2 linked regions of the Drosophila melanogaster genome follow. The protein of the gene in region 1 interacts with the protein of each later gene in a pairwise test. Each region holds a gene or a part of one and is shown in the gene's direction. Other genes may lie near its edges.

Evidence for each region. The genes of interacting proteins can lie anywhere in the genome.
Region 2: the proteins of Roe1 (region 1) and CG17574 interact in a two-hybrid assay, tested with the Drosophila melanogaster proteins (one large-scale study listed by BioGRID).

Annotation. Positions count from the first base shown.
Region 1 is NT_033778.4:13,552,457-13,556,144, forward strand, and holds Roe1 (Roe1), read left to right. Parts: upstream 1-1,620; 5' UTR 1,621-1,724; coding exon 1,725-1,810; intron 1,811-1,930; coding exon 1,931-2,225; intron 2,226-2,570; coding exon 2,571-2,831; 3' UTR 2,832-3,150; downstream 3,151-3,688. Other genes in the region: link, read left to right, coding at 3,532-3,688. UniProt on the Drosophila melanogaster protein: Essential component of the PAM complex, a complex required for the translocation of transit peptide-containing proteins from the inner membrane into the mitochondrial matrix in an ATP-dependent manner.
Region 2 is NT_033778.4:12,848,823-12,855,148, reverse strand, and holds CG17574 (uncharacterized protein), read left to right. Parts: upstream 1-1,608; 5' UTR 1,609-1,666; coding exon 1,667-1,826; intron 1,827-3,566; exon of another isoform or gene 3,567-3,580; coding exon of another isoform or gene 3,581-3,701; intron 3,702-3,805; exon of another isoform or gene 3,806-3,878; coding exon of another isoform or gene 3,879-3,984; intron 3,985-4,200; exon of another isoform or gene 4,201-4,247; coding exon of another isoform or gene 4,248-4,374; intron 4,375-4,920; coding exon 4,921-5,050; intron 5,051-5,107; coding exon of another isoform or gene 5,108-5,110; coding exon 5,111-5,188; intron 5,189-5,252; coding exon 5,253-5,412; 3' UTR 5,413-5,791; downstream 5,792-6,326. Other genes in the region: CG30486 (uncharacterized protein), read left to right, coding at 6,184-6,306.

The DNA of each region.
Region 1 (3,688 bases):
TCGATTAAATAATCGATAGCATCGATTTCTTGGCCCATCGCGAAAGTAAGCGCGAAATTTAAAAACCCAACGGATGTCTTCACCTTCGTCATTCAGAAGAGCATTCGTCATTCATAATTAATGTCGACAAAGGAGTGTACTTGGCATTGCAAATTAGTCAGGCACGTGAAAACACCATTTTTATTTTTAGCCTAATTTGTACGTGTTTTTGAGTGCTTTTAACCTCTCAAACAAACATTTTTGTTGTTTATTTTTAGAACCGCTTATAAACAATATACAACTATATGGCGGAGAAATGGCATTGTGTGAAAAACTTTAATTAGATCTAAGAATATCATTTAATATATTGTTTTTTAATGTGTTTTTATTGCACAGATAGCTATTAATAGCACTTGGAATCTTTCTTTAATAGGAAATCTACTATAGACACTGTTGAAACTAGCTTTAGCTGTAGTTTTTGTATAAAACCTAGTCTAAACTACATGTTTACTATGTTTACCTCTTTATTTCCCTTCCTGTGAAGCTTTCTTAGTCCACCCACCTGAATTGTTTACGCCTCTCACTCAAATCCAGGACTCTTCTCAATGGCTTGGGTGAGTTGCCCGGCGACGTGGCTGCCGCTCCATCATTTTCCTCCTCCAGAGAACTGGACACCGAGGTACTTGCCACCATTTGGAGGGCCAATTGGAGATCCTCCTCACGCATTTTTTGTTGTTTTTTTTTATTGGAAAAGTATGAAAAAAAAACCGAGTTTTGAGACGACAACCTCGTTGTTCCGGTGGCGAGATCCAACTAAGTGACTTCTCGTGCTTCGTTTTCCAAAATATATACAATGCATGCGCATATGTAATACTTGGCAGTGCGATCGGAGAGGTAAGTTGTTGAATAGATGCTATGCCCGCCTCGTACACTCGTACTTTGAATTCATTAAGAGCCTTCCGATATTTACATTTCCAGAGCAACTTTTTTCGAGCGGTCCATATTTTGGCGGCCCCGGGGCGTGGCCGATCTGGTATGAGATCGATTTATAAGCTATGCGTGGATTAATAGCCGGTGGCGCACTCTTAATAATATATGTCCGAAGGTAGCGCCAAGAATATAGGCCCATTTTTGCATTAACACCGATCGATTTTAAGTGGACCTGCGCCTGCCAATATTGTCGATACACATTTTCACATTTTTATATGCCATTTGCATATTCCGTTTGTCCATTTTATATAAGAAATATTTTGTCGCTTTAAATTTGTATTTATGACCAAGGTGAATTCTCAGGGGTGTCAGGAACTACTGATCAAGTAGGGATTTCTTTATTAATAATAATTGTTTGTTTATTGCATTTTTGGGTTTAAGTGTGTAAAGTGGTAAAATTTCATACATTTTTGATTTCATTTTGGTAATATTGATGCTATTTAAATATTTATTTATTACTTGCACCGATTTCCTTCTTAATTTATTTTTAAGTATTTTAGTTATATAAAGAGATTTTCTTTGGATTTAATGTAAATAATTTTTTACATGAATGAATCCGAGCTTACATCTATTCTACATCCGACTTGACTGTTGCATTCTACAGCTGCGCTGCGGTCACACTAAGCGGCAACACCGGGTGGAATCGATAAACAATTACTATCGAACACACATCGATTGTTGAGAGAGCTGTGAAGCCGACGATTTTACGTCAAAAGCGGAATAAGTTTATTTAACGTACGAAAAAGCTAAGCATAATGTCAGCAAAGGCAGCCTTACCACTGCAGATGTTTGGCCGGCGACTCGTCCACCTGAGGTCATCGGTCACTTCTCAAAATATGAGGTAATTCCGGTTGCATTGCTTCCTCTTATCTGTGACGTAATGAGGGCGCACGTTTGTCGTTTCGCATGTAATTCTAACATTGCCTCCCGTCTCACTCCCAATCGTCTACCACACAACCAGTGCCCTGCGTTTGTACAGCACAGAGAAACAGCCGGAAGAAGCGACAGAGCAGAAGGCCACCGAATCGTCGCCAGAAGTTGAGAAACTCACCAAGGAACTGGCCGCCGCCAAGGAGCAGAATGCCGAGCTAATGGACAAATACAAGCGTTCGCTAGCCGACAGCGAAAACATGAGGAACCGACTGAACAAACAGATCAGCGACGCCAAGATCTTTGGCATCCAGAGCTTCTGCAAGGATCTGCTCGAGGTGGCGGACACACTGGGACATGCCACACAGGCGGTGCCCAAGGATAAGGTACAAACTATCTTATCTTAAGATTTAAGGTTTAAGGTATCTTAAGGATTCAGACTCGCAATGAAGTTGCATATGTTGAGATAAGAATTTCGTAATTATTTGTTGCCAATACTTGAAAATCTTCATAGCATTTTAAGGTGTATTTTCCCGATCTTTCCATTTCTATCTGAGAGATAACAAACCCGATTGCATTACATACATCTAATTGTACATATAGATTTGTTGGGGTATTTTAAATTGAGATATTTGGATAACTTGTTAGCCATTTTAGACTTAATAGATAGTTTAATCGTTTTGCATTAACATTCTTAAAGCTACCCTTACTAATGATCTTAATTATTGCAGCTCAGCGGCAATGCTGATTTGAAGAACCTGTACGAGGGCCTCACCATGACGCGCGCCTCGCTGCTGCAGGTGTTCAAGCGACACGGACTGGAGCCACTGGATCCCATCAACCAGAAGTTCGACCCCAATCAGCACGAGGCGCTGTTCCAGAAGGAGGACAAGACCGTCGAGCCCAACACCGTGGTGGAGGTGACCAAGCTGGGCTACAAACTGCACGAGCGTTGCATACGTCCGGCCTTGGTGGGCGTGTCGAAGTGTTGATAGCCATGCGGCTGCCCAGAGGCATGTAAAATTCCCAGTACTCCCCCCCCCCCCCTAAACCAATTTACATGGCGTGTGTCTCTCAATTGTTTGCAATTTGTTTTCCGCTGCAAAATTCATGTACGTAAACCCTGTGTAAATACAACCTATCCCACAAACGCATCCTTCGGGCAAAGCTTGCGAATTTAGAATTCCTCCTAGTTTCTAAGAGATCTGTGACTGGATTTGATGGCCACAATTTGTACCATACGCGTGGCCATCGAGTGTTCCACTTTAAGGTTTAATTACGATAATAAAACATGTTTTAGTTTGTTGAAATATACCACGGAAATTTGTATTTCATCCTCATCTGGAGGAGACTCTGTTTATCTAGGTCTCTTTTTAGTTTCCTTTGATTTTCCCCGTTTTCCTTAGCCCTTGAAATTCGAATCCCTCATGAAAAACCATTTCTTTTGTTAACAAAAACCAGGTAGCGAAGCGTAATCGCATTCCTGCTCGTCGCGTAGGTGGAAAATTCAATGGAAATGCGTGATTTTCTATGACCCAGCAGGTAGGCTTCCAAGCACGTTCCCATGAATTCAGAGGTAGCACAGATGGTGGGTTCCCTAAAACGAGATTTGCGCCAGAGTTGAAAGTCTACTTCAAACGGTTTTGAACTATCTCGTTGGTTAGTTGTCCTTAAACATTTGAAGTGAACGGTATGATTGGTGTGCTAATGCGTTTTCTCTGGTCCTTGGCCATGGTGCAGTGCATCCAGGCTAGAGTGTCGATGCTGCCTCGTTTTTATGGACAAGACAGCGCTGTTATAGTGGACATCAATAGAAAATTCCCACCTAGAATGGACTCCAAGCTGCAGA
Region 2 (6,326 bases), 700 kb from region 1:
TGATCATAGGATACGTGATCCGCAAAAGGAAACAGCGCCTGGCGGGCAAGGATGTGATTGAAGCAAGTTAGTATAGTTCGATGCAGAAATCCTTTGTTGCTGTCCTGTGTTCTTCCCAATTGTCAGATGACGAAGCTCCGTGTGTGAAGTTCCTGTGTCTTGTTTTGTTCAACAAAATGGAGAACGGAGAACAATCTATTTAATTTTTTATGTTTAACTACTTAGTTTCGTTATTTATTACATGGTTGTAACACTACAAGATTGCCGAATCAACTGCTTAATAAATAAGAAAGTTTACAAAAACGACGACATTCAAAGTTTAAGAAAATTACTTTATATATAGTAGCTTTCTTTTCGTAAACAAAAAAAAAGTGGATACACTATTTGCCTTTGCTAAGAACTTAAAATATATGTTTTATTTAATTCTGATGTGAACAGAACATTAAGAACAAGATTTAAAAAAAAAGCGGATGCAGCCACTATAAGTCGTTTACAACATTTAAGCGTACTCAAAAAAATAATGGTACTTTTTAAGAATGTGGTACTGAAAAAATAATTTTATTTTTTTATTGCTTCCATGATTTTAATTTTCTACAAATTTTGGTTAAATATTTTGATTCATTCGGTGCATTAACGCTATGTTGCTGTTTTACTACGTTCTTAGTAATTTAGAAAAGTTTAAAAAACTTCTATTCAAAGGTCATAATTTTTGATATACACATAGAAAAGTAATGAAATCTTTTAAACTTTTTTGAGTGCGGCTTAGTGAGTAATGATTATTCTAATCAAATTTTTAAGCGAATGGTGGTATTTACCTTTTGTATATTATGCGTATGAGTAATTATTTAAAGTGATTTAAGATTTTAGTTTCTTTGCTCCTTTCGTTCGGATCGGTAGGGATTTGGAATTTAGCAAAATTTGACCAATAATGGCAAAATATACTTCAATCGCAGTTTTCTTCAATGTATTGTTTTTGTACTGCATTTACCTCTGCTCGATCGTAAAGTTTCCTTTTTTGTCAGCCTATTATAATTTCAAATAATTCAATCATCTTCGGTGTAATATTGTAGTTCATAGTAGTTGTCACTGCTTTCATTGGGAAATGGAGTGTAATTCTGACTCATAGTGACTAAATCATAAATTTCAAATCGATCGCAAATTTGTTTTTTTTATTGAACTACGTACTTGTTGTGCGTTGTAAATCTTAATAAATGTATTATACATTTGAGACCATTTATGATGTCACATATCAAAGACTCTATAAGCAGATGGAAAGACAAAGAAGACAAGAATTTATATTTATTGGGTATTTTAGCGGCTTCTGGTTGGTTATGCCTAAAAGTACGCTGCAAAAATGTGCGAATGGTTCACTAAATTACTAAAATTAAACAAAGAGCTAAGTAGTACTTGTTTCATCCATACTTGTTAAATACTGAAAATCCAGCTGGTTATATAAGTTTTCTGTATTCTGGATAAATATTTTACACACAGTCTAAACGATAACATGCATATTTTTTTTCGTCCGCTTTTTCTTATCGTAATAAAAAGGGCTTAGTGAATTGAATTTTTTCCCAGATTCAGTCCAAAAAGATCTGAGCTTAGACACACAGTTCGACCAGTTCATTTACTCAGTTCGTTGCAGTCAAACGTGTTTACTAGAAAAAAGATGCCTCCTTTAGAATTCCCACCGCCACCTAAATACGATGCTCCAAGTGTCGATAAACTTCCTGAAGCGGGTGCCAGATTAATAGCAATCATTTTTATGCTTTTTATCTGGGGCTATTGCAAGTGTTGTTGTTCTTGTTGTAAACGCAATAAGACGGAAGGTAAGAGCAATTCTTAACGTATCTGTACGATAAGCCAACTCTCTTATTTCAGCATCTATTAACACTCACAGATAATTGCAGTTTCAGATAGTTATCTTAGTCTATAGGTCGCGTTTGCAGTGCAATCATGAATTTTCTTTTTGTGAATGTTTTCAATTCGAATTCAAATGAAGACGACTTTAGTTTGATTATAGTGTTTGCGATTTTTGTATTGACCATTTGTATTGGGGCCATTTGTATATGCCTACGATTAAAAATTGGAAAGGAGATTAAAAACTGTAAAGGTTGGTAACCCATTATTAAGATACCGTACTTATTATTTTTATGCTGCTGTCTGCTTTAAAAAGAGACACATCTTAATGAATCAAAAATTTCCGCTTTATGTAGTTAGATCAAGTGGCATGTAGTTATTTTATAATTATAATTTTTAATGATAAAATTAACAACATTTTGAAACTATTCTGCGTATTGTCCACTTTGAGTCACTTTGTTCATTATTGCCACATGTAAATAGAGGTAAAAACTCACATGATAGCGGTATCTGCATCTAATACACTGAAAAACTTGTTTTTCTAATTAAATCCATTACTCGAAGACGTCATTCAAAGCGTCTGCATTAGATTTCCTAACTTGATCTTGTAAATTGATAAATATATGATAATAATGGGTATTGCCCAAGGTTTAGTGCTTTTGCTTCCTATCTGCACTGTCAATTTTATTTATGGTTCAAATATTCAAGTCATTGTCTAGAAGAAATTTTGGATTGTGTGCGAATTTAGTTCTTTAGCTAGAAGTAAAGTCTTTTGCATGAGAAATCCGAGTTAATATTAAAAGATGTAAGACATATTTAAGGCTTTTAATTTCCCCTCCAAATACAATTAAAAATAATTTCTTATCCAGTATCCTAAACTTTAAAAGCCTCTGTTGTGAAATAGTCCGGCTATCTTGGTATACTGAGATTTAGGACTTGGTTTGGAGTGGGTAATGACTGGGTGTTATTGTTATATTTGTGCAATATATGCTGATAACAACGACTGTGATTCCCTACTATTTCGGATTCCATTTCCAAATGTGCCACTAAATGCTTCGTTTACGCCTAAACGCAAATCAATAATTAGGTATTAATGGCTAATGGTCATAAAGGATTGAGTGTTGACGTACGTTGATCCCGAAATGCAGGGTAATTCAGAAAATGATTATGAAACCCATTTAGTTAGGTCGCAGGTCCTCACGATGAATGCCACCATATTGGATGTGTTTGAGGACATTTCCCAGCGACTGCACATAAACTGGACATTTCTGGCATACGAAGCTTGTATCCTCACGGTTTTGGTTGCCCTTGTTGTGATATATGCCTTAAATCTTGCTCGAAATCCGGAAGACTTTCGATATTGGAACAATTTGTAAACGTATTCCCGAAATGAATAACGAAACGGAGGTCAGCTCCTTGCTGGAGTCCCAGGAACGCTCTGTGGTTTTCATATCCGTTTTTCGCATAACCTTCAAAATATTCATTTTGGCATTGATCGGCCTGGTTGCACTACATTGGAAGCGTCGTCAGGCTCTCGGTGATTTAAGTAAGTTATGATAATGGTTGAAAGTGTACTGTTATCACTGATAAGTGCTATCTTTATGAGTGTGATTGCCCTTTTCTTTGGCCATTACTGGCACTTTTTCGATTGCCAATCCGGCGGCTTTAGTTTCTCGCTTTTGTTTAGTCTTTGTGCACCGCTTATTCAGTCAGTATCATAATCATGGATGATTCGGGCATCTACTGGATACTTTTCTTCACCTTCTCCGTATTTTTCATGACATCCGCGGCTGTATTTCTGACCCGTGGTCGAACCCGGAGAGCGGCGCTCACCAAGGGTGCAGGTGTGTTTTCGGGGATCACCCGTTTGTGGCGATAACGCGGCCGTCCAATGGGTTTCCAATATCTCCCATTTACACAAAAAAAAAAAAAAAACACAAAAACCCCAATGTCATGAAACAGTTGAAATCGTGAACTCCACGCTGTAGCACCAGTTCAGCGTGTATAGAATAATATTCGCGATGGAGCCGTTTGTTATTCCCATCATAGCAGTCTCAGTCTTCATAGTGATTGCCTCGTTGATGTGCCTCTGCTTCTTTTGCATAGCCAAGAAGTTCAGATCCATGGGTAAATAGCTGCAGCTACGGGAAGAGTTATTTATGTTTTATGATTTATGTAATTTTGAAGCTGTTTCGTACTGCCAATATCAGAGATAAACAAAACCATAATGCAAGTACACCACCCGCTTATCGTATTGGCCATAAAATCGAACATTGATTAGACGCGGTCCGAGTGAGTGGGTTTTGTCAGACATAGGACTTGCAGTCTGTTCTGTGTTCGCCTGGAAAGCGATTGTGTTTTTTCGAGCTAAATTCCCTGACTTATCGAGAATGTGGGCATTCTGGGTTGGATTATCTATAGCCTTTGCCATATTTTTCATTACTTCCTTCGTTGTTTGCATTAGACGCAGGCAGAAAGCAGCGCGAAATGTTGGCTACACAATCAGCGAAGGCGTTGGTAATTACATTGACTGAGCAATGAATGGATTGCCAATTACACTTAAAGAAATAGTGGTGCAGCAAATTTTGTTGAGCCTTATCTTATTTGTCTAAGTGTGAAGTATTTTCTTATTCTTGGTTTTCGATACAGGCAGTATATGTTTTAAAAATATTTTTTATATTAATTATAACACAAAATGTATTTATAGTGCATATAAACGTGACACGGGCTTGTTATTACCCTTTTCTATAAATAAATTGAGTGGATAAGATTAAAAGCTCAAAAAAAAAAAAAAGCACAGAAATTACACCAAAAAAACCCCAAATGAAATTAAAAAAGCAAAATATAATATACATCAAGTTTTTATGACTTACATTAATTTAGATTAATATAATATTGAAAATTTTTTATAGTGCTGAAAGGGGAATTTTTGTTCACACTGATGAGTCTAATCAAAAGTGGGAGCTTATCGAGTCTGCGATTCGCGGTTGGCGATGATTCAGAATCATTGGCGCAGCTATTTTCTGTTTCTAATTTCTTTTTTTCCGTTCTTTCTACTTTCAGCGCCTGTGGTGGTGACCTCCGCCACCCACACGGCTCCCGGCGGATATCCGGTCACACAGCTGCCTCCGCCGGGCTATCCATCGAGCAATGCCTACGTAACTGCGACCTCGTACCCCGTACAGACCACCGGGTAAGTACGGAGCCTAAAGTGCTGCCGCAAACTATTCTAATGTCCCCATTTTCCCAGCAGCAACGTGACTGTGCAGATGCCCATGCCGATGAGCCACCAGAACCAGCAGCAAATGCCAATGCCTATGCCGATGCCGGGGTAAGTGGAAGCTAGTGCTCCAGCGAAACGCAAATATTAATTGATATGCTTTTATCCATTGCAGTCAGCAAACGCATGGCGTGGCGTATCCGACGTATCCTGGCGCCGGGGCTGCCAACATGAATCCGCCGCCGTATGACATGTCCATGGCTAATCCAGGACCTAGTGTTATGCCCGCTGGATATGAGAAGCAAGCTCCCTACAATCCCCACTTTGGCCAGTGAAATCGCACTGTGAACTGAGGATCCCCTTTCCGTCTCGTTATAGCTTTTTTACTCAGCTGAACACTTTACTTTCCATGTTTTCTTGCATAAAAAACTCCAAACTCCTGGTAAAAAACCAAGTGAAAGCGATCGCACAACGAGCCATTTTTATATTCCATGTGATGTATGTAAAGTGTACATATAACTTAAGCGCAACCTTCTATTTATACATCTATATTAAGCAAATCCAAAACGAAAACCAAACTGAACTACATGAAGTGTTAATTGTAATAAACCAGTGAAGTGCACATCAAATGCAACTGAAGCACATTTGTTTCGATGTGCACTTTCACAAAATCACAAAAACAAGAAATGCAAACATGTTTTCAATTACTTCTGCACTCGGATGTTTTTGCCAATGAAAAAGCAGTGGGTAAATGGGTTTCTAAAGATTACTAGTGGATTTACATTCCAATCGAAAGTTTTTATTTATTATTTTCTTAGTTGAGATGCGCAATTATGTTTTATGTTTTTATTACCTTGATTTAATTGAGTCATGCGAAATTCCAATGTTTTACACATATTGTAAATTTTATATCTTAATAATAACCTTCTAGCTTTTTGGATTCCTTGTTGAATATGGCTGTCTGTTGGAAATAAAACTAGTAATAGCTCTATATATTATAGAATTGTCACGCTGCATTTAGGCAGTTACAATGGATTTTACGCTGTATAGATAGATCAGTTTTCTTCAAAATAGTTTTGTATTTTGACTCCAGCAATCGGCACCAGATGTTGTACCTTCTTTCAGTCCTTATAATAGTCCTTATCAGCCAGGAGGCGTTATCTACGGATTACTGCAACAAGGATCTGTGTCTGCCGGAAATAACGCATATCGCTTGCCGCAATTATGGCGTAAGTTTGGCTTCCCATCA